Linked DNA regions of Astyanax mexicanus. The protein of the gene in region 1 purifies or fractionates together with the protein of each later gene. This does not show direct contact. Links are inferred from orthologs where the notes say so. Each region holds a gene or a part of one and is shown on either strand. Other genes may lie near its edges. The genes, in order: cdk5rap3, ufm1 and pip4p2.

Evidence for each region.
Region 2: the proteins of cdk5rap3 (region 1) and ufm1 purify together in Homo sapiens (co-immunoprecipitation; 3 studies listed by BioGRID and IntAct, with this or other methods). This does not show direct contact. The link is inferred for Astyanax mexicanus from reciprocal best matches to the Homo sapiens genes CDK5RAP3 and UFM1.
Region 3: the proteins of cdk5rap3 (region 1) and pip4p2 purify together in Homo sapiens (affinity purification with mass spectrometry; 3 studies listed by BioGRID and IntAct, counting the BioPlex papers as one, with this or other methods). This does not show direct contact. The link is inferred for Astyanax mexicanus from reciprocal best matches to the Homo sapiens genes CDK5RAP3 and PIP4P2.

Annotation. Positions count from the first base shown.
Region 1 is NC_064422.1:30,384,086-30,392,045, reverse strand, and holds the start of cdk5rap3 (CDK5 regulatory subunit-associated protein 3), read right to left. Parts: upstream 3,046-7,960; 5' UTR 2,895-3,045; coding exon 2,889-2,894; intron 1,934-2,888; coding exon 1,888-1,933; intron 1,738-1,887; coding exon 1,606-1,737; intron 1,260-1,605; coding exon 1,159-1,259; intron 1,078-1,158; coding exon 1,029-1,077; intron 922-1,028; coding exon 743-921; intron 1-742. UniProt on the Homo sapiens protein: Substrate adapter of E3 ligase complexes mediating ufmylation, the covalent attachment of the ubiquitin-like modifier UFM1 to substrate proteins, and which is involved in various processes, such as ribosome recycling and reticulophagy (also called ER-phagy).
Region 2 is NC_064427.1:37,353,936-37,361,150, reverse strand, and holds the start of ufm1 (ubiquitin-fold modifier 1), read right to left. Parts: upstream 3,009-7,215; 5' UTR 2,819-3,008; coding exon 2,817-2,818; intron 2,716-2,816; coding exon 2,659-2,715; intron 368-2,658; coding exon 310-367; intron 1-309. UniProt on the Homo sapiens protein: Ubiquitin-like modifier which can be covalently attached via an isopeptide bond to lysine residues of substrate proteins as a monomer or a lysine-linked polymer.
Region 3 is NC_064410.1:40,374,032-40,381,879, forward strand, and holds the start of pip4p2 (type 2 phosphatidylinositol 4,5-bisphosphate 4-phosphatase), read right to left. Parts: upstream 3,108-7,848; 5' UTR 3,008-3,107; coding exon 2,896-3,007; intron 1-2,895. Other genes in the region: si:ch211-250g4.3 (extracellular matrix-binding protein ebh), read left to right, coding at 6,737-6,761, 6,937-7,185. UniProt on the Homo sapiens protein: Catalyzes the hydrolysis of phosphatidylinositol-4,5-bisphosphate (PtdIns-4,5-P2) to phosphatidylinositol-4-phosphate (PtdIns-4-P).

The DNA.
Region 1 (7,960 bases):
TACACAAGAAGGATATAACTGGCTGGGCATCCATTAGGATTAAGAAATTTGATTAATTAGCCAGAAAAATGTCTAGACCCTCGTCATCCATACATCTTAATGAACGGTGAGTTGTACTTAGTATGGACCAGGTTTTGACCACTGCCATTTACCATTGTGCGGCTGGTCCATTTTTTGCCTTTTGATAGAAGTCAAGCTCAGAAACACCCACACCTGTATAAATTGTGAGAAGTTTGGAGTGTCTTGTGAGTGTGGATAATCAATGGTCCGCATTTGGGTGACAAGTCTTCATGAATTATTAGTGACATGAGTTTGAACACGGCTTGATAGTGGATGGTGGATGATGTGCCATTCCATTTCGGGCATTTAACATTCAACATTCAATCCATAGTGTCACCGGTGTACTGAGAATACATAATACAGGGCATTACCAACCACAGTGGACAGGGCACTGGGCGGTAATGATCACGACCTGTGCTGTCTGGCTAGAGCTGTTAGTGAGAAAAGAAAAGCGAATATGGAAGAAATTCCATCAAGATTCAATGCAAAACATATACATTACACATGCAGGTCAGTGCAAAAGTCATGGGGCATGATACTAGTTCCCTAGCACTAGTGGATCTTCAGCGCAACCCCACACAGGTCTTTGGACTACTTAAAAGCAGAAGAAAGTCCATAACCATGTCTGCCTTGTTTTTACTTGCTGAAATTTTCCAGTTTCTTAAATAAACTTTGATCTTACCGCAATGCCATACTGCTTGCAGGCAGCATAATAGTGGTCCCTCATGTCTGCAGCTCCGCTCTGGCACTCTACCTCTCGTCTGCTCAGCTCCTGCTGCAGCTGCTGGGCTTTAGCCACTTGCTTCCTCAGAGCAGGACCTTCATAACTCACATTGCGGCTCAACAGACTGGCCAGTTCAGCTAGACAGACATATCAAATCACAAAAATGGTAGTTCATAACAGTTATTAATTCTTAAAAAATGATGTCAAATGTCAAATATGGCATGATTCCTTGACCATCACTTACCTAGATAAGCATTGTCTTTCTCATAAAGTGATATTATTTCCTGCCAGTCCTGTTGACAATGAACAACAAAAATTTAGAGTAATGAAATAAGTCTATACATGCACACGTGTAGCAACAGTCACATGGTCACCTTCATCCTTTGTGATGAATATCTGCCGAATATATTTTTGGAAGAGGCTTCTGTTCCTTTCAGTAATTCAACTATCCTCAGACAGTGGAAGTAGTGAATATCTGGATGACACAAATATTAAAGGTAATAGTGAACAACAGAAAGCTGACCATGGTAACAGCAAAAGTGTTTAAACGCATTTAAACAAGCTATACTCACCTGGCCACTAATACATACAAACATACATACAAACTGATGTCCAGATTCCAATGGCCTTTCATTTATTACATGCCATTTAGATATAGTGTCTAAATTAGATATGACTAATATTATATATATATATATATATATATATATATATATATATATATATATATATATACAGATACATATACATATATATATATATATTGATCTATCCCCTTTTAAAATAAAAGTTTCAACAAATCAAGCATTTATGCCACTTACATGAGCCTGAGAGCAGCTGTCTGATCTCTTCATTTTCAGGCATATCCTGGATAGCAGCATTAATCTTCTCTCTGATGGTCAGTGCTGTACTCTGCCATTTCAGGGAAGTGTGTCTTCTATCCACCAACCAGTCTAAGGAGTTGAAGGAAGCAACTCAGTAGCAGCACATTGAAAAGCTTTAATTGTTTTTGTTTATTTCACAGATTATACAACTCCTGCTGAAGTACAGAATAAGCACAAATATTTACAATTCATATTTATAATAAAATATAGAAGACTTACCCAGAAGTTTACTGGTTTGGATGTCAATTGGGAGATTCTGGATATTCTGCAAGCATTAATGACAAGAAAGTGTCAGACTGTATAAAAGCACTGGTCTTGGTAGACAGTTGTTTACTTTTTCCTAATATTTCTTACTATGTGCAATGTGTAGCATTCTCTTGTGCTACACGTGTATTGCATAGTCTATTGATCAATAATATGTACAATGTCACTATTTATTTGCTATTTATTTACTTACATACATATTGCAAACGTATTGGAGGAACCATGTTTTGCCTATATTTTAAGGTTTTTTTGTGATTTATATCTTGTATTGTTAGGTTCTCTTGTATTTATGTTTATAGACATTTTATTTCATAATGTTGTGTGCCTTCTGACACTTCTGTTTGTCCTCTGCATTGCTGTTACTCTACAAATTTTCCCATTGTGGGATTAATAAAGGCTTATCTTATCTTGTATTATCTTATTACACAGCAAAATCACTGCAAAATTAAACCATACATTTGGACTGTTACTGTATATATGTCCAGTTTACTGACACTGACTTTAGGGGACGTTATCACAGAATCACATATTTCTATTACAAAACAACAAAATATCGCAATGGTCCTGGTGCACGTATTACTAGCTATATACGTGTGAAAAAAAACCTTGAGAACTCAGTGTTGTTGCTTAATCCTATAAAAGCTGATTTATAACTGTTTTCTATACACAGATGACAGCTGGCTCCAATAAACATGGAACATATGGATCATCATATACAATCCAACTACTAGATCTTTCTCATACTTTTAGGACTAATTTAACTTACCTAACGTTACTTATTATACTATATTATCTGTTTGTTCGTTATTTAAACTCCGGCTTTTGCCCCACAGACGTTGTCAAAAGTTGTCAAGCCCTGGTGCAGCTAGCCTAGCTAGGTAACACTAAATTACTTACCCAGTTAACTTTAACTATATAAAACATTAACAGAGAAACTCGTGTTATTCTCACATTACCTCCATTGTGTCCGAGGGTTTCTTGAATTCCCCTTTTTTAAATAAATTGATATATAATAAGCTACATGTCCATCAGATTCTTTAGACTCGATATAAACGCAGATTTCGTTTATATTGCTACTGACACGTATTACACAGCCAACCAATCAGAGCGAGTCTTCAAACGTTATTTTCTAAAAGGGACCAATGAGCAACAGCGATAGTACGGGGGTCTGTTCTGTGAGCAAAGCACTTCAGTGTTGGAATCCTAACACTTTTCAAAATAAAAGACACCAAATATTACCAGTCAAAATTAGGACACATCTTAATTCAGTGTTTTTTCATTGTTTTAACATTTTTTTATTAATCTACAATAAATACTTAATAAACAAAAAGCAGAATATGTATTTTTTGAATATATTTCCAAAGTAGCACCTTTTGCTTAAATGACAACTTTGCACATCTTGGCTGGATTTTCTCATTCAGCTTTATGAGGTAGAGTCACCTGTAATGACTTTCAGTTAAAAGCGTTGCTGAACTTATCAAGAGTTAATAACTTGAAATTCTTGCCTCTTAATGTATTTGAGAGCATCAGTTGTGAGGCAGTCAGTCAAAAATATAAGTATCCTTGAGTGCAAAGACCACTTTATGAAGGAAATGAAGGAACTGGCTTGCATCAGGACCGCCCTAGGACACAGGGTAAGTTACCAGACACAGAAATCGCGAGAGTATTAAGTAAGTTTGTTTTTAATTCTTGACTCCGGATGTCTTCCCTCCGGATGACTTCACTATTAATTTACAATGTGGGGGAAAAATAAAATAAAATAAAATAATAGAATGAGAAGGTGAGTCCAGACTTTTCTTTCTTTCTTTCTTTTTTTTTTTTTTGCAAAAAAAAGTTATTCTAAGTCCTTATATATCAATCAAGACATGTTTGGTCACCAAATACTTACACTGGAGTTCAGTCATTTTTAAATATTGCATTTTAAAGTAGCATTAAACTAATTTGTACTGAACCTAAATGTGCCTTTTTAATTTAATGATGCTAGCTGATGTAAACCCTATTTGCAGATAATCTGATTATTGTATTTTTTTCCAGCAGTCTAGATAAAGAAAAACAAATGTTTTTAATTTTTAGTACATATATCCAATAATAATACTACTAATACTAATACTACAACAACTACTACTACTACTACTAATAATAATAATAATAATAATTATAAATAAGAGGTGAAACATGTATTGTTGTGTTACTTATGTTTTTACTTATGTGTATAAAACCACATTAGATGCTTTAAAGCGCACGAGACGTGTAAAAACGCACCTATTGCGTAAAAACGAAGGTCGCGAGTAATTACGCACCATATGCGTAAAAACGCACGTCATGCACATGTAGGCCCCTGACGCATTAAACGTACAGGCTAAGAGTAAAATCACAACAGCTGTAAAAACGGGACTACACCTAACAGTAGACATTCTGTTATACTGTAATGCTAAATATTAATCTAATAAATGGATCTGGACCCTGTTATCCTGGACAGCCAAGGGAACCTCTGTGGCATCCAAACGATGTATCTGTTTAACATTTTGACAGGATTTAAATCTGGTAACTGCTTTTAAACATTTATCAGTTTTAGAAAAAAACGTTTGCAATAAAAGTTAGCATAGGTATAAACATACAAAAGGCTTCACGGAGATGAGAAAAATTGTCCACAAGGTGGCATTGTCTTCTAACTATTTATCATTATAACAAAAGACAGTTTGTAATCATTAAAACCAGTGCTTGACTATTGTTCTATGAGTAAATGACTTGTCTTTGGGTGATAAGCTAAACATATCCCTGCTGGATGTTGTCTCGGTCTGTGTTTCAACAAGAGAAGCTGGTGTTTTTGGATTTGTGTATATTTTCATTTTTTAAAGTTTCTGCAGCTCTTCTGAAATCACATGCATTTCCACAGTCAGTTCTTATCCCATGACTGTTAGAGTACATATCAGACTGTGTATTCTAGATACAGTATATCTGTGTGTGTCAAGACTACAGTAGATAAAGGGAATAAATATGTATCAGTAATAAATCATTAAATCCATTTCCCAAAAATATGACAAATGAAAGGATAATTTAACAATGTCCAGAGAAAAACACATATCTTCATTTTTGTAGATTTTTAATTTGCAGCATTCTTTGATCCCAAGAGCATTCCTTCACATTGTTTAAAAATTAATTGAGTCTAACAATAGAAACGAAAATTAATTTGCAAGATCAGATAAATATATGTTTGAAGAACAGAATGTATAGTTTTAAGAAATTAACTCTTTAAATACTCCAAAATTACTGGAATATGATTGGAAGTTTTTGTTTCTCCTGTAAAGTTTGAAAAAAAAAAAAGAGATTTGGAGATTTGTGAATAACATAAGAGGGGTGGGTTTGGTGAATGTACTTAATTCCAAAACTTCCTAAACATTTTTGTAAAGCCTTAATACTGTATTTCGGGCATGTCTGTACTTGAGCTCTGGTATTGTCTGTATTAATAACTGCTTTGTCCAAGGCTAATGAGCTTAGCGTAGTCAAGAATTCAGCCAGGCTTTTAAGTTTGCCGTGCACAGGAGTATCCATTCCCTCTTTCTTGTTTCCTTATTGTTTAGTTTGACTCAATCCATTCAAATCACGCAGACACACTGTCGCTTGTGGGACAGAGTGTAAACCTATGGCCCGCCTTTATTATGTCAAGCTCACAAAGAGATATTTGGTCTCCTGTGCAGTGACTGCCAGCTTCTTTGTCTGTGTGGTTTTGCTTGTGCACTGTACAATATTCAGGGTATTGAATACAGATACTGGTGCATCTGCTGTCTGTAGGGGTCCGGTTTGCTGACTAATCTAAATATTAACAAAGCTCAAAGTTTCTAGAGCTAAAATGACAAAAAAAAACATTTTTGGACTGTATTTAGTAAAAATCTATATTTAATTATAAATTTTAATTTTCTTACTGTATCTTGTAAATGACGTATTGTGACAGTTAAGCAGAGCAATCTGCGATACTCTTTTACTTTACATTTGAATAGCAGGCAAACCTTCACTTATCAGAGTTGGAGATCCATTATCTGACTGTGATTTCTCCCACATCATGCAAAAGACTGAGAGCCGGCTCTGTGGAGGCCTCGCAAAAACAAACGATGAAGGAGTCTGATTTATTCACAAGCTTTGGCAGAATGTAATGTGGTTTATGAAAATCGTCAACTACCTTTGTCCTAAATGGTTAGTTGCCATTTTTCTTTATGTTTCTTCTTCTTTTCAGTGTTATAATGTGCATATTTATGAGACAGAATGAGCCCTAGCAGAATGGCCATTGAAATGCCAAATGTCATGGGACAGGAACTAGCATCATGCCCCTTGACTTTTTCCATGTTCCATTGAAGCTGCATTAAATGTGCAAGAATATGCTTGCACATGCAGGTCTAGCCAGCCACTGTAGGTGATAATGCCTTGTATGATTTATTCCCAGCAAACACGTGACACTGTGGACCAAGTGTTAAATTCCTGCAAAATGTTCCATTCATCTGGCACTTACTATTAAGCCTCTTTCAAACTCTGATGAATCACAGCGCTTTGTCTGAGCACAGTGGCCGGTGTTCAACTTTACTCACAAGGTAACACCTCACAACTTATACAGGTGTGGCCATTCCCAAGCAGTTCCCTGATGAAAAAGTTTATTATCATTTGATATACTGCTCTGCTATCCCATGACTTCTGCATGCCAGTGTATAGTAACCTATTATTATTGTCTTTGCAGTATTGAGTGAATCAGGCAATGCTTGTTCTCCTCAAATGCTACAGAAAAAGCACAATGGTAGACATACTGATCTCTGTAAAACTTAATATTTACATGCCTTTAAACTCTGTGTTTCTTTATGTCATTTGTAATGTGAAAAGTGTTAAAGTTTCTTCAACCAAAGCAGTAAAAAAAAAAGGTGTCAACCGATTAAAATATAATCACGTTAATCACATCAACATTCTGTGAAGAATCATGATTAATCACAAGTTAAAATGCTCATACTTCCTTTTATATAAATGTAGTGTGGTATGCATTGCAAACTGGCATACCAAACTGGCTAAGTAAACCTTTTACACTTTATTATAATAGCTCAGTTTAGTTTTAATGATTTTTTTTATTATACAGAGAGAAGTAGAAGAAGAGGAGGTAGGTGTTAGAGAGTGAGTGTTAGTTACGAGATTTAATCTATATTTTAATATTAACAAAATTCATTTTATTAAAATGTTTAATTAATTAATTAATTAATTAAACATTTAAAAAGTAAACAGTTGCAATGCTGGGTTTAAATTGCTAGATAAAACTAAGGATATACAAATGCATAACCAGACACTATAAATAATACATTATGGAAAGAAGTTGAGGTCAAATATGATAAATGATCAATTTTCCTTGAAATTACATTCAAATGTATCACGTTTCATGTTCAAAGAAGTAGATAGATAGATAGATACTTTATTAATCCCCAATGGGGAAATTCATTTGTCCAACAGCACACAAATAATAAGTACTTTGTTGTTTGTATTTTTTTCTCTTGGTGCTGAAAAAAAAACTGGAACTACTATAGTTTGACCACCAGTGTAGACTTCTTGATGACAGACATTTAATTAACAGGAACCCCAAATGTGCTTTTTCCCCCCTCAGAACGTTAAGTACCCTTTTTATTTACCATGCCAATTTTATTTACCATGCCAAGTCAACATTGCACTCCCGCAGGATTGGCTCAGTTTATTGGATGCAGCCCTCCCCCTTTCACTCACATGGCTGTAACATTTACTCAAGTTGCAAAGGGCTGTCCCTAATGTTCAGCTTGGACTGCAACTCTTGTGGGAGGCTGCATCAGCTAGATAGGCTGTGTGCATGTGTGTGTGTGTGTGTAAATCTGGCAGATCATGTCAACACCTGAGCACCAAATGAAAGCATTCAATCACAGTGAGATTGATTAAGAACGGAGACAGACACAGACAGACAACCTTCAAAGATCTTGACAGAGACATTGTGCACAAGAAAAGAAAAGAAAAGAAAATAAAAGAAAAAAGAAGA
Region 2 (7,215 bases), on another chromosome or scaffold:
AAAATATGCAAAAACTGCAAAAAGAAATTGGTGAATTTCCTTTTTAAACATACCCAATTAATTTAGCACACACAAGGTATGCAGTGCCTTTAATACTATCAGCCTGAAGCTCTCTGCGTGAGGAATCATTTATCGCTCCTGAACGGGACGGACTAATGTGAAAACGAGGCAACGCATCATTAGAGGGACAGATGGGCCAGTGTCAACACTCAAAGCAAGCTCACCAATATTAAGCTAAATCTCTTTTTCAACAGTTTCATCAAAATGCAAAAGCTTTTACTTTGCAATTATAAAAAAAAAATCTGTTACCTCTTCTGCTGCAAACTTCAGCACCGCCGTGAAGGGCGTGCTTTCAGGGACACTTAATCTGCAACAGTAAAAGATGAAAGCAAATCAGCCTAAGCACCAAACATGCCGAGCAGTGATCAGATCTCCTCCTAAAGCATCATCAAAATGATCAACACACGCTTCATTTAAAGAGTGGAATAGCTCAAAGCCAGACAAACAGCAGGAATCTCAGACAACAACACAAAATCCATATTCAAAGCATCTAAATCTGCAGATAGACCATTCAGCCACTAACAGCTCATTTAGCAAATGTGTCCAATGTGGATGATAATGCCAATTTATACTTCAAATCATGTCTGTTGTGCAGTCTCACACTCAAATGTGATGTAAAATCTGTGGCGCTCTAGCATTTTCATGCTTTAAAAAAATATTTTAAATTTAGCTTGATTGCCTACATGATGCTTTACCTGGTTAAATTATGATTCAGCACAAACAGGTAAATTCAGGTTTGTCAAATAATTGCTATTTAAAAAAAGGTTTTAAATAAGATAAAAAAAAAAACAAGAAAAAACAGCTTTTATACAGATTTATAGGTTTATGTTTGAGTAAAATGAACATTGGCGTTTTATTCTATATACTACAGACAAGAAGAGATGCCTAAAATAACAAAAAGACACAATTCTGAACTCACTGGCTGTTCCAGTGTAAATTACAAGTGATACAAACAGTAGTATTTCCTGGTTTACGACAGCACTCGACTGTAGCATTATTATCGTAGCATTTTAAACTTGTACATGGCTAACTTTTGGCTAGTGTTATAACCCTAAAAAACAGCCATGACCAAACCACTGACTCAAAAAAAGTTTTGTGAATCACTGCACAACTACTATAGACATTTCGGTTCCACTTTTAAATAAGACTACCTATATAAAGGGTTTCTAATTGGTTTACAATTAGTTTATTAATGGTTATTAATTAGGTTGTAAATGCCTTAAAAATCTGTAATAATCAGTTATAACACATACATAGGAAAAGCAACAATGACCTGTTGTTTGCCAAATAGTGAACTCACAGCCATCTATATTGTTGCCCTTTCTACGTATGTGTTATAACTGATTATTAATGATTTTTAAGGCATTTACAACTGGCAGCTGATTTGGAATTTGTTATTTAGCTAACCTAGCTAATACAGATGCTAGTTGTAAGCTAGCGAACTAGCTGCTGCAAAAATGTTACCTGCTTTCCTGTTTTCTGTCTTTTCAATATATATATTTTTAAATGTTAAATTAGGATAATTTCTGGTTGGTTCTAGTGCTCGACGATCCTCTTAAACCATTGCTAATTTGTAAATAGCCACAACAACAGCCATATGTTTTGTGTGTTTCCAGGAAAAACGTAGTTAACCCTAGGTGAATATTTTAGGAAGTGTGTCTTTGGAAGCAGGACTAAGGAAAAGTTAAGTGTGGATTTTTTTTCCACTTTCTTGTTTTTTTTTTTATCACCAGCTTAAAATTCAGCCTTGAATATTCTGTTTTAATGCAGCGGATTTGGAATTTGTTATTTAGCTAACCTAGCTAATGAAGATGTGTGGGAGTTGTAAGCTTGCGAACTAGCTGCTGTTAAAATGTTACCTGTTTTCCTGTTTTCTGTCTTTTCAATCAATATTTTTTTAAATGTTGGATTAGTATAATTTCTGGTTGGTTCTAGTGCTCGACATTCCTCTTAAACAATTGCTAATTTGTAATTAGCCATAACAACTGTCAATTATTTTGTGTGTTTTCAGGAAAAAAACGTTGTTAACCCTAAGTGACTTTGGAAACAGGACTGAAAGTAAAGTTTGGAATTTGTCCCACTATATTGTTTTTTTTAATCAACAGCTTAAATATTCTGTTTTAAGGAATTTGGAATTTAGCTAGCTAACTAAGTTACCTACCGCAGATGTGTGGGAATTTTACGTTAGCTAGGTTAACTAGGTAGATAGTAGCATGGAAGTAAGTTAGCTAATGCTAATCCTAACTAGTTAGGCTAGTAATCACATTCTCCATGTAACGTTAATTGTAAACAGTTAAATGTCACTTTATTAGGTAAAATAATCTCTGCTGTAAGTAGTTAAATGTGTTAGTGTTAAAATGTACGAACACTAGCTACTGTAAGAGCTTTAGCTTTAGTCTAATGAAAGCTGTCACATTTACCATGAACTTAACACTAAGAACATTACATTAAGAAAACGGCAGGCCAACCAATCGAGTGCGTGAATGGAACTTACAAACACAGCGTTAACTAGCTAAATAACTAAATTACTGCCTTATAAAGATAAATAAGCTCTGTGTTTTTATAATAAACAGAGAGAAAGAGAGATCTGTTACTCACACTTTGTAAGGTAGCCGGGGGTCGGACGTCAGGGTGATTTTAAACGTTACTTTAGACCTAAAACATAAACAGACACATATATTCAGCTCGGTACTGAACTGGCCCAGTATATAATACCTGAACCGGGTTAGTTAAAGCGGTAAAATAAGAACAGTTACATGATTAATGCAGAGCCAGTGAACAGCACACTGTTTACACCCAGCAGGAACAGCGCCGAGGACCCTTTAGAACACGTCACCCATTCAGAGAACAGAGTCAGTCTGCTTCAGCCTTATTTTCCTCCTTCACACACATCACTGCAGTCTGAACTCTGTCAGTTAGTCCACATTTATCTCTCATACTCTTAATTTAAACGCGTGAACTCATTAAAACCAGTTTTATTTCAAAAGCTGTAACTGTATTTGCGGTCAGGCAACTTTCACTGGTGCCCTTATTCTACCGTAAGTCTCTGAGTATAAGCGAATCGAGGATTTCCTAGAGTTTTGGTTCACAGGAAATTCGACTCATGATTTATGTGGTTTGGAACTCTTTTCACTTATAGTAGTCTAATTAGCTATCTTAATCAGCTAAAAATGGCGTTCTTTTTATTTTGTTGACGTTTTTAATTTTATCTAGTTTTTGTCTCTGACAGTCTGATTTCATGCTTTATAAATAACACTGTTAAATACAGAAAAATAAAAAATAAAATGAAAATGAAAAATAGAAAAATGGTCAAACAAAAATATAAACCGTTATTTTAATTATTTAATCGTTTTCTAAAAGGTCTAAGGAAAACTATTTTTTAAAATCATGTCTATTTGGACAGTAATAATCAGTGATAATATTTGCTCCCAATAACATGTAGTTTTACATGAATAAAAAAATGTATGATTGGCAAATGTATTTGGCCAAATGTATGTATGAACCGCTAGTAACTAAGTAATGTGAAATAAATAAATAAATAAACAAAAAGTAAAAGGTTTTGAAGCATCTGCCATTTATTGTGCCCTACTGACATCATTTAAAAGACAGATGCCAGTTTTAAATTATGTAATAAATCTAAATACATTCCAAACATTGAGATTTTTCATAACAATTAAATTAGATAAAGCTGTTCTATTGCTGTAATATGTTTTTACACTTTTATATTATTTTTTGTAAATGATTATTATTATTATTATTTTTATTTTTATTTTTTAACAAATAGATATTTACAGTACCAGTCAAAAGTTTGGACTAGGGAGGCCTCAATACAATTTTTATTTTCCAATGAAATTATGCTTAGATTAAAAATAGAGATTAGTTTTATTCCACATCAGACTTAAGTCTTTAAACTTAATCTATTACAAGTCTTTTCAGAGTCGTTTTGAAGTTGTCTAGTTGTGTTGTTTAGCTTTATAAGGTAGAGTCACGTGGCGAGGCTTTCAGTTAACAGCTGTTCTGACCTTGCAAAGAGTTAATTACTTGACTTTCTTGTCTCTTAATAAAGTGTTTGAGAGCATCAGTTAAAGTAAAGTAGTGAAGAGGTAGAGTTACAGGTATACAGAGAATAGCCTGATTTGAGTAATGTTCTAATCCAGATTATGACAAGAACTACTCAACTAAGTAAAGTAAAAAAAATACTTTAAGAAATAAAGGACAGTTAATTAAAAAAATCAATAACTTTAAAAGCATCCTCAAGTGCAGTCGCAAAAACCATCAAAAACATTATGATGAAACTGGCTCTCATCAGGACCTCCCCATAAAAGAAAGACCAAGAGTTACCTCTTGTACAGGGTAAATTAATCAGAGTTACCAGCCTCAGAAACAACAAGTTAACAACAGCCCAGATAAGAACCACGTAGATGCTTCACATAGTAAGTTTACCACATGATTTCTTATGTGTTCCTTCATAGATTGGATGACTTACAATGTAGGAACAATTAAAAACCTTAAATGAAAATGTGTGTTTTTGATTTGATTTTGACTGGCACTGGATATGCATTAATACACATTGATTTTGTAATTGTTGTGTTTTATTATTTTTTTACAGAATAACGGATGGGTGCTGCAAATTACAGAGATACACTGCAAGAAAACCTTCTAAAGATTGGGAGAAACCTTTTACACAGACATACACAACTGCTAGTGTTATGCTCATCACACATTAGATTGCATGTGTCAGATTCCAGCCCTTGTGGACCACCACACTGCAGACTCCTGGGTTCTGCTTCATTAAGCCTAACCTGATTGATATCAACAACTAATTAGAAAGGCCTTCAGAGAGTGTTATGCTGCATTCAAGTGGTGCTGGAGACTCTGAAACGCCAGTTTACTGACATGTAAAAAAGGAATCTTGTTTATAAGTGGGAAATTTGGTGGATAATACAGTACACGTTCAGTAAGTGCATTTTTACACCTGAAAGTCTAGACCAAGGCTCTTGTTTTAGTTTACAGTTTTATTTCACATAACAAATTAGCGAGCACACTAAGATTGTTATCGTTGTTATGTGTCTTGCTTGATATTGGCTGGTTTGAATAGGAGCATGTTCAGTGCTAAAGTCTTTATAGGACAGTCTGTTTACTTGGTGGCCATCTTTGCAAAGCTGCCGAGCCAGTTATATAAGAACAAGCTCCTGCATGAATATTGAAAGATTGGAATACTGTAAATTGGAGGCTCAACCTTTATAAGGTAAATGGATCTTATCTTAATAATAATATACAAATTATAATTATTTTTCACTGTTTCACTTTTTCACTTTTTTTAGACTGTAAAACTGGCTAGCTATGTGTGGTGGTATTTATTAAAGTTTATATGTAGTAATATTTATCCCACACTAAAATCTGTAAACAATGAACAAGCACAATGTCTGTGGAGGAGACCACAAAGGATGACATTGCTAACAAACAAAAAAATTGCTGCACGCCTGAAGTTTGCGAAAAAGCACATGGACACTTCACAATGTTACTGGCAAAATGTTTTGTGGAAAGACTATTGCCTCATGGTGGAGGGAACATCATGATTTGGGCCTGATTTGGGGAAGATGAATTAACAAGTAAATCTAAATATTCTACAGGATAATGTTAGAGTGTCTGTAAATCAACTGAACCTCTGTAGAAGTTGGGTCTTACGACAGGACAATGACCCAAAACAACAGATTGGCTATGTAAAAAAAAAATCCACCTTTTGGAGTGGCCAAGTCAAAGAACTGGATGCTATGAGTTCACTTGAAGAGAGATGTACACTTGAGATGTCCAAGGAATACGACAGAGCTTAAGCAGTTCTGCCAGGAAGAATGGGCTAAAATTCCTCCTGAACAATGTGCAGGTCTGAAACAGAGCTACAGGAAGTGCCTGATTGAGATTATTATTTTAATTGTTGAATGAATGTGTTTAATAAAGACCTTGAAGATCATATATATGTTTGTGTTATTATTTTAGGCACAATATATTTGTCAATATATTTGACTTGAATGAAGATCAGATCACATTTAATAACCAATTTTCTGCAGAAAACCATGAAATTCCAAACAGTTCACATACATTTTTTGCCACTGTATTGGTATTGTTTCATGTAATATATCATCACTGTCCAAAGAAAATGAGTTTTAGTTTACTACATAATTTGAACAGAAAAAAACTGTGCCTTACCCTGTGCCAAAATGTCTTGATGAACAGACCAATAGAAATACCTCAAAATGACCTGACATAAACTCTTTTTACATTGACTTCCATTTAAGTTCAGAAGGTTTCTTCTCTCTCCTGTAAATTAGCTGTTTTGGAGATACATATACATATATATATATATATATATATATATATATATATATATATATATATATATATATATATATATATATAGTTTGCAGCAACAGAAACCAGAATTTGTACTCCCCACACCTCCAGCCTTTGTTCATTTTAGTGGGCGGTATCTTTCAACATTAACCCAAACAGAGTGAAGTCATATTTCCTCGTTACCAGCTGGAATGAACAGCCTCTCCATGTTCAACCTCCAAGCTCAGAAATAGGTGGCCTGGAACGAACCCAGCTTGACATCCCTGTCTTAAACAAAGTGAGCACCTGCTGGCTCTTATGAAAGATCGTATTTAGGCATCTCAGTTCTATATTTTCTTCTTTTCTGGCAGCTTGGAAATCATCTACAGTAAGTTTGTGCTGTGTCTGAGCCGCTGTCACTCCTGAAAAGAGCATCAGTGGGAGTAAAGCTTGTCAGTATATTGTCAGTGATGGAAGCTGGAAGCTGGAGTGTAATGAGTCATTCTGGGAGGGCAGACCCTGCTGCGAGCACATCAGGGCTTGGAGCCAGGAGCCTCCCTGGAGGCGATGGATGGAGCTGAGAAGAATAGACTACTGATGGTTCTTTAAACTCACATCCACTAGGCACTGAGAGTTATGCAATAGTTAAAGATTTGTCCCGGGCTTATTGCGCAAGTTTATGGATTGTCTGATAAGAAGTGGGAGTTTAAGTATGTTTCGTATTGTATTGTGTCTGTCTATCTATCTATCTATCTATCTATCTATCTATCTATCTATCTATCTATCTATCTATCTATCTATCTATCTATCTATCTATCTATCTAT
Region 3 (7,848 bases), on another chromosome or scaffold:
GGCAAAACAACTTTAGAAGAACTTGCAGACTCTGAGGTCATTGCTCTACTGTGCAGTGACACATATATTACCTTCATGGAAGAGTCATCAAAAGATAATCTTTCCCGCTTCCTCACTACGAAAGGTGAAATATTTGGGAAACAAATGTGGGGGAAAATCTTTGAAAAGAACAACTCTCCAATTGTGAAGAGCAGGAGTGGGTCAATAAGGTTGGATAATGAACTGAATAATGCTGAAAATGACCATAAACACACCTCAAAATCCATAATGAACTTACAATGATCTTAACAGGTAAAAACTCTAGGTTATGCTATGGCCCCCCACAGACCTCTGACCTAAAAGCATTATTATTTGCTTTGGCCCCCAATTTTTTGGTTCGTTTTTTTTACTATACAAGATCCAAATTTTCCCTAAAATATGAAAGAAACGCATAGTAATTAACTTTATGTCTTTCAGAGATATGCTCATGGGCTCTAACTATTCATTGTAATAGACATTTTGGCCAGGGCTGCCCAATGTTTTGCCGGTTACAGAATATGTAACATTGTTCATATGCAGAAAAGCCATTCAGATCAGAGGCCTTTTACATACAGTATATCTGTTTTAAAGGTGTCGTAACAAAACAACATATTCAATTTTAAGGAATTAAGAGAGATAAATAATCCAAAAAACAACAACACAGGATTCATGATGTAGGCACATGCACAAGAGTATAATTCAACATTTTCAAGCACTATGTCCTTATATGGAAATATGGTTCTTCAGTAAATGCAATGGTTCTATTTAGGATAGATGTATGGGCATACCTGTTTTTATCTGTTTTCTTTTACCAGAGGGCTTTTGGACTAGCTGTGGCCTACTGGTGTTGCAACGATTTCATGTTGAGGCATTAAGAGAATGAATGTAGATTACAATGCAATAAGAATCAGTTCTGTGTCAGTAATAGCCAGAGTTCACATATATCAGACCAATAAGTGTACTGGTCTTAAACCAGCTGTTCTGCCAACATTTCAACGCTAATTGTGTCTCAACAAAGTGCTATACATTGTTCTGTCGTGACCAGAGCCCAGGTAATCCCTATTAAAGACAGAATGCGAATGAAACTGTGGTCAAAAAGAACTAAATTAGCAGTAATCCAGGGGTAAGAAATACCAGGACAGAAAGTAAAGCCACATCATAATGTTCAAAGGTAACATTTCTAAACCTGCATATCTTTGTCATTGACAACATACCTATATATTCTGTGTAAATATGGCATGTTTAATGAAAAAAGCAAAAAATATCCCTTCAAATGGCAAAAAGAAAATAAATCATTCTTTAACCGGAAAACTATGAAAGAGTATAAACAAAATAACAGGTTTTCATACCCAGGTTAGCAAAGCTGTCATGGTTGGGGTTTCTTGAGCAAGGCCCAACTGTGGTCCCCATGACCACTCTGCTCTCTGATGCCAGGGCAATAGCTGCCCACTGTTCTGGGCATATTTGCTTATTAGTGTATATGTACAGTATCTGTTCACTGAACAGGTGGGTTAAAGGCGTTGTCACTAATAACATCACACCATATGTTTGTGAACACTAATTGCATTCTGCTACTTTTAAGTTGCTCCCAATGCTGACAATGATGTTGACTACAGGGGTATTGCACTGAAGCTACCTTTATAATTCAGAGCTACATTAACATTGTAGCTCTGGGGCAAATCACAAAAGCTAACTTTTGACACTGAAAATGTCTAACCCATGTTTGTTGAGTGTAGAAACTCATGAATAGTGTAAACGTGGGGAACCATTCATACAAGACAGCAAGACTGCAGAAGTTTCTCATATCTGTAGCTAAGTGAATTCAGGCTAGTACTAATAATAAAAACAATCTCTTGTGTAGTTTTGACTAGTTGCAATGTGCATTTTGTGTATGTTAACATATTTTTTGCTAAATATCATTTTAGATATATGTAATTTGAGTTTTGACTAGTACAAATAACAGTACTGAACAGTAGAGCTTTTTATTAGTAGGAATTACAGACACCTGCATCTGATTTTTTACATGTTAACAACATAATTATAGATAAGAAATTCTATGTAAACTAATGGTATCATATGACTAATCAGAATTAGAGTAAGGAAATGTTTGCATGATAATGTGTCTAGTCTAAGAGGATTTAGGCTATAGGTCTGTGTACTTGATCTTATCACTAGTTTCATAGCTGTCTGTGTAATACATTATAGGTAATTAGAGATATTAGCAATGAAATAAGAGTTAGATTTCTGATTTTAGGAAAAAACGGCTTACTCAAGGTGGACTCATGAATGGAAAAGCACACAGGTAGGTTAGGCTAGCTCGCCTGGTTTGTTACTCCCTGTGTATGGACTCCACCTATAAATCCGTGCGCTAGTTCCTCTGTTTACTGTTGTGTTTCAGCACTAAACGCTGGAAAGGGCCTTTCACAGAACTGACCAGTGCAATTTAATGTGCAATAACTCCAGTGTGACGCTTTTTGTAGTGCTGCAACACCCTCTATCCTTCAGTACATGGCCCCCAGTTCGGTGTCAGATTGCAGCCTGTAGCTACACCCAGGCTATCTTACGGTAGTGTTTATTATACAGATCATTATTATTATTATTATTATTATTATTATTATTATTATTATTATTATTATTATAATGTAACCTACACTCCAATAAGCCTCAGACCAATCTACAGCAGCACTGTCGTTTTTCTCAGGCCTCGCTCCCTCCCTGTATTTACTCTTCCCCTGCCCTGCCTCTTCCCCCCTCCGCTCTCCCAGGCCTCGGCCGCATCGTGTTGCGCGGCGGATGGAGCTCCGTGCGGCGGGCGGCACTCTCTGCGGCCGCTACGCCCCAAAAATGATTCAGCAGCTCGGCGTCCGCCGCTCCTACCTCTCGGGCTGCCGCTGCCCTCCTGCAGGTACGGCGGCGCTGTGGGCGTGACATTGCCCGAGTTCTGTCCGGGCAGCAGCGGCGAGCGCTCGTCCATACCGTCGGAGGCCATCCTTACAGCGGGTCCGACTGAGCAGAACAAAAACACAACAAACACACGATCTCCCCCACACACACACACTCACACACGCTCCGCTGTGGAAATGGGGGGGCAGCGGAGATCCAGCACCGCTCCAGCAGCACCAGCAGGAGGCGGGGCCAGTGACGCAACCGGGGTCCGACACCGAGCGGTGGGGAAGCCCCCTACTGGCCCTCACCAACAAACAAACACCTCTGCGTCCCTCACCCAGATAGCACTAGACCAGGGTTGGGCAATTTTTTTTTTTACCAAGGGGCCACATACAGCTCTGGAGAAAATTAAGAGACCACTTCAGTTTCTAAATCACTTTCTCTGATTTTGCAATTTTTAGGTATATATTTATGTAAAATTAATATTGTTGCTTTATTCTTTAAACTACAGACAACATTCCTCCTAACTTTCAAATACAAATATTGTCAAATATTGCCTACTGGTACCTAAATCTCTCCACTGTTTTGTATAGAGGTATTAATCCTGTTCAATATATAAAAATCTAAGTAGATAAGCGAGAAAACAGTAAAATAGACCTGATTTCCAAATGAGATAAAAAATAAATATATTTTAATTTCTGCAACATTAAATTAACAATGTAAACAATTGTAACATCTGACTGTTAATGTACTTAGAATTATCTTTGCTGTAATGTGCTCACTTTGCCATTCTGAAGGTCTTATTCTCTGGTATATGTGTTATAGCTGTTTAAAACATTCCAACATCCTACTTTAATTAAACTGAATTAATCATTTGTGCTTCTTTTTCTGATTAAATAATCAAATCACTCCTGTTCTGTATTGGCCAGTTTCAATGCAGATTAATGTGTTCAGCCAATCAAAATCTGAGATTTGGTCACGCGCCAACTGCCTGATTAATGTCCTGAGGAAAAAGAGCGGCTGGAGCTCGCCTGCTGGTTTGTGTGTTCAGCAGGACTACTATCACCGCTTAAGCAGCAACCTAAGAGGAAAGTTATAAATAGCTTATATAGTTTACTTCACTTAATTTTACTTAATAGGTTGTAGTACATTTTACAGTGGTTAGACCTTTAGCTAGGTTATCTAACTTGCTAACCTGTCTAATCTAGGCTAAATTTCCTAACGGACTTTAGGTTAGCTAGTTAGGTTAGTGAGCCAGCTAGCTAAGCTAACTAGCTATTTAGTTAGCTAACGTTAACTAGCTGGCCATGTAACCAGCGAAGCTGAACTAATTTAGTTTACAATGCTGTTATAATGTTAGGTTTAATAAAAAGTGAAATATTTAGTCTAATAAGAAAATATATTTATTTTTCAATATATTCATGTACTTTTAATAAAGTGTAAACAAACTAGCTGCAATGCTAACGTTAGCTGGTTAGCTAGTTATGTTAGCTATCTGTGTGGCAACTGGAAATACGAAGCTAATTCCAGCCTCGTCACCAACACGGATTAAATTCGAAATTAATTAATTCGAAATTTAATTTAACCCTCAATATAGCTCTGCATAATTTTATTTTATTTTGCTATTTATAGGTAACTTATGTTTACTACGGACATTTCTCCGAATTCCAAATAGAAATATTGTCATTTAGATCATTTATTTGCAGAAAATGAGAAATGGCTGGAATATCAAAAAAGATGCAGAGCTTTCAGACCTCAAACAATGCAAAGAAAACAAATTCATATTCGTAAAGTTTTAAGAGTTCAGAAATCAATATTTGGAGGAATAACCCTGTTTTTTTAATACCAGTTTTCATGCATCTTGGCATGTTCTCCTCCAGTCTTACACGCTGCTTTTGCAATATCAGTTTCTATCCGGTTACCGTTTGAATTAATATCTAATTAAATCACCTGAAACAAGTTCCCAGCTGGCCACCAATATTAATAGTCATTAATTTTAGGTTGAATGTTGGTCATGAGGTCAGATGATAAAAAGTTTACCTCATGATGATAACGTCTAATGCTGTTACGTGCCTGCAGGATTAATTTTCTGTGCTACTTGTTCTAATTTCACTTTTTGCAAAACAGTATAAATAGGGAGAAACAGCATTTCAAAAGCTTGATTCTGCTCACTAATTCAGTTTTTGCTGGCTCTTAGATTTTGATAATGTATTAGTAGATATTTTAATTATTTTAACAACCCCACAAATAAAGCAAACATTTTGCACTGGCAGTGCTCCACAGTGTTATAACTCCCCCTTCTGGACTGTTTATGTCTCTGCACTTTTATAATAATCACATAACATCTTCATTTTGCTTCTCTATTAGAACAGATGTAAAAACTTACTGAACTAAAGAATAACACAAACGATAACAGAAATAATAAAAAAAAACACTTTCTACAGTTATTTAACTTGGTAAAAAATGTATTGTCATACCGTTAGCCAAATATTAACAGTTTTGATTAAATATGGCAAAATATTTTAACACTGGCATGATCTCTGCTACAGCAAAATAATAAATATTTTCAGTTGTTTCCTGACAGGTGATAGGAATTAAATAGTGTCTAAAACATGCTGTATGGGGGGACAGGTTTTCTTAATTAATTGTGAATTATTATTAACTTTGGAGACATCTGCATATTATCTAAGATTCGTCTGCGCCATTGTGTTCTAAAAAATTAGATGAAGACTCAAAATCAGCCAGTCCTAGTTATTCTTACTTTCCTTTGACAGTTATTCAGAAGTTAAAAGTCAATGTTAAAACATGCAGAAAAGAGTTTTAAGTGTAATACACACAGGGGTGTGGACGTTATCATGAGTGTAGGAGTGTATCTTGGCTTTGTCCCAAGTCAGGGAAGCCCACCTTATCAGAGAAAAACAGACTGGCATAAAAGCACACCCTTTACCCCTCGCAGCCAATCAGAGGAATGGTAAGGCAGAACTCGCAAATGTTTCGGCACCAAATGAAGCGATCACCAAGAGTACAGAAAAACAAGATAAGCTGTTTTTGACAAAGTAGTGTCACTTGTTTGGTTACCACCATGGCTAAACCACCAGACCACTACACTTTGCAGAGTTAATTCAGTCTGATTAACCAAAAAGGCAGGCTTCGTAAGGTAAGTTTTTTTTTTTTTTTTTTTTTACAATATTATTCAGTAAATATAAAGCCTGTATATGTCTACCTAAAGATTAGTTTGTTATTTTGCAACTAATTAATTGAGCAACAAAATAAAATTCGCTAATTGTGTAAACAGAACATAAGAACAAAACAGCATTCTGTTTCATTACACATTGATGTCCATGAAATAAGAATGTATATAACAACTATAGCAAATATATAACAATACATAAGTTCAGGGACATTTAGTTGTTGTATATAAATGGTTGGTTTAATAACTTTTTTCCCTAAATTATAGACATGCACAGGTTAAAATGTTATATGGTTTTAAATAATTAGTCACTATCTAATAGTTTTTCTTGTATTTGGAACTAATGCACAAGAGTCTTATCAAATTTTGTAAAAATGCTACAAATTAATTCTACAAAAATGTCTCGGATTATATAACAAATGCTATGTCTCATGTTTTAGAAATGACATTTAAACTAAACATTATTATTTTAAAAAACTGTTACATGCATATATTTTAATTTTTGCAATGTTTCTAGTGATTAAATTGTCAGCTTAAAAAAATCATAAAGGGCAATAATATTTCTCCCTAGTGTGCAATACCAGATCAAGCATTAAAGGGACATCTGATCAACCAGGCAATCTGTCCAAAGCAGCCAAAAGCATGTCCAAAGCATCTAGAGATTACGGTAAACTTTGATCTAACAATATATAATATTAGAACATACACATTGCAGCCTTTGTGAACAATGATTTTTTTTGTATTTATTATTATTAATTACTGTTGAAAATAATATAAATGCTGTTTTAATTTGCTGTTTCAGTGTAATGTACTTGCTTTAACTGAATGTGTGTACCCATTAGTTGGGGACTTCCTCGCCGAATTCAAGGAGCAGATCATTGTACGAGCAACACGAGTCAGTGACATCATAGAGGCGGTCTTGTCCCAAAACCTGATCCATGACAGAGCAGCTCGTCAAGTTGAAACAGCTCCTACTGAGCAAGAAGCGATGAGGCTGCTGTTTGAGGCTCTGGAAAGAGAACCTTCCCAACACAGAGTGTCCTTCCATCTAATTCTGAGAATGACTGAGCCTGAACTTATTCAAGAGCTGGGTGAGTTTTTTTCACAGTTATTACAGTATTTCCCTACTCGTATCCATCTTTATATCAAGCAGTAATTACACAGCAAATACATTTTTATAAAACAGTATCTGTTCATAAATATTTTACAAAATGTGAACACTTAAGACAAACAAGATTATTTTTATATTTTTAAGTACAGCACTTAAAACTACTAAATACATTAAATACTGTAATAGCCCTGCAAGGGCCCTGATACATTTTTTTCTTGCCTGTACACCCAGTGTTTTATTTGTTCCTGGACCCTAATTTTGTATTCACAATGCAATGCTGTTTTGTACCTGACGGTAACTTTGTTTTTAAAAAATGCAGTTAGTAGCCTGATAACACTAATAGCCTAATAATAATGTTTAACAGACAGATGTCCAGGTTGTGAACAATAGTACAGGACATAGAAGTCCAAATAGACCCTTTCACAGTTCCTCATTCTGTGTTGAATCTATGGTGATGAAAGGTTATGAAAGAATTGTGTATATTTTGCAATTATTAGGATTTTATTTATTTTTTGATTATATGGGCAAATATAGTTTTCTGCAACACAGACACTTTGAATTCTAAAATGTTTTACACAGATTTTAGAAAGATTATGATATTCAGAAATATATATGGAGTTTTCTGATTTATGGGAATAATGGG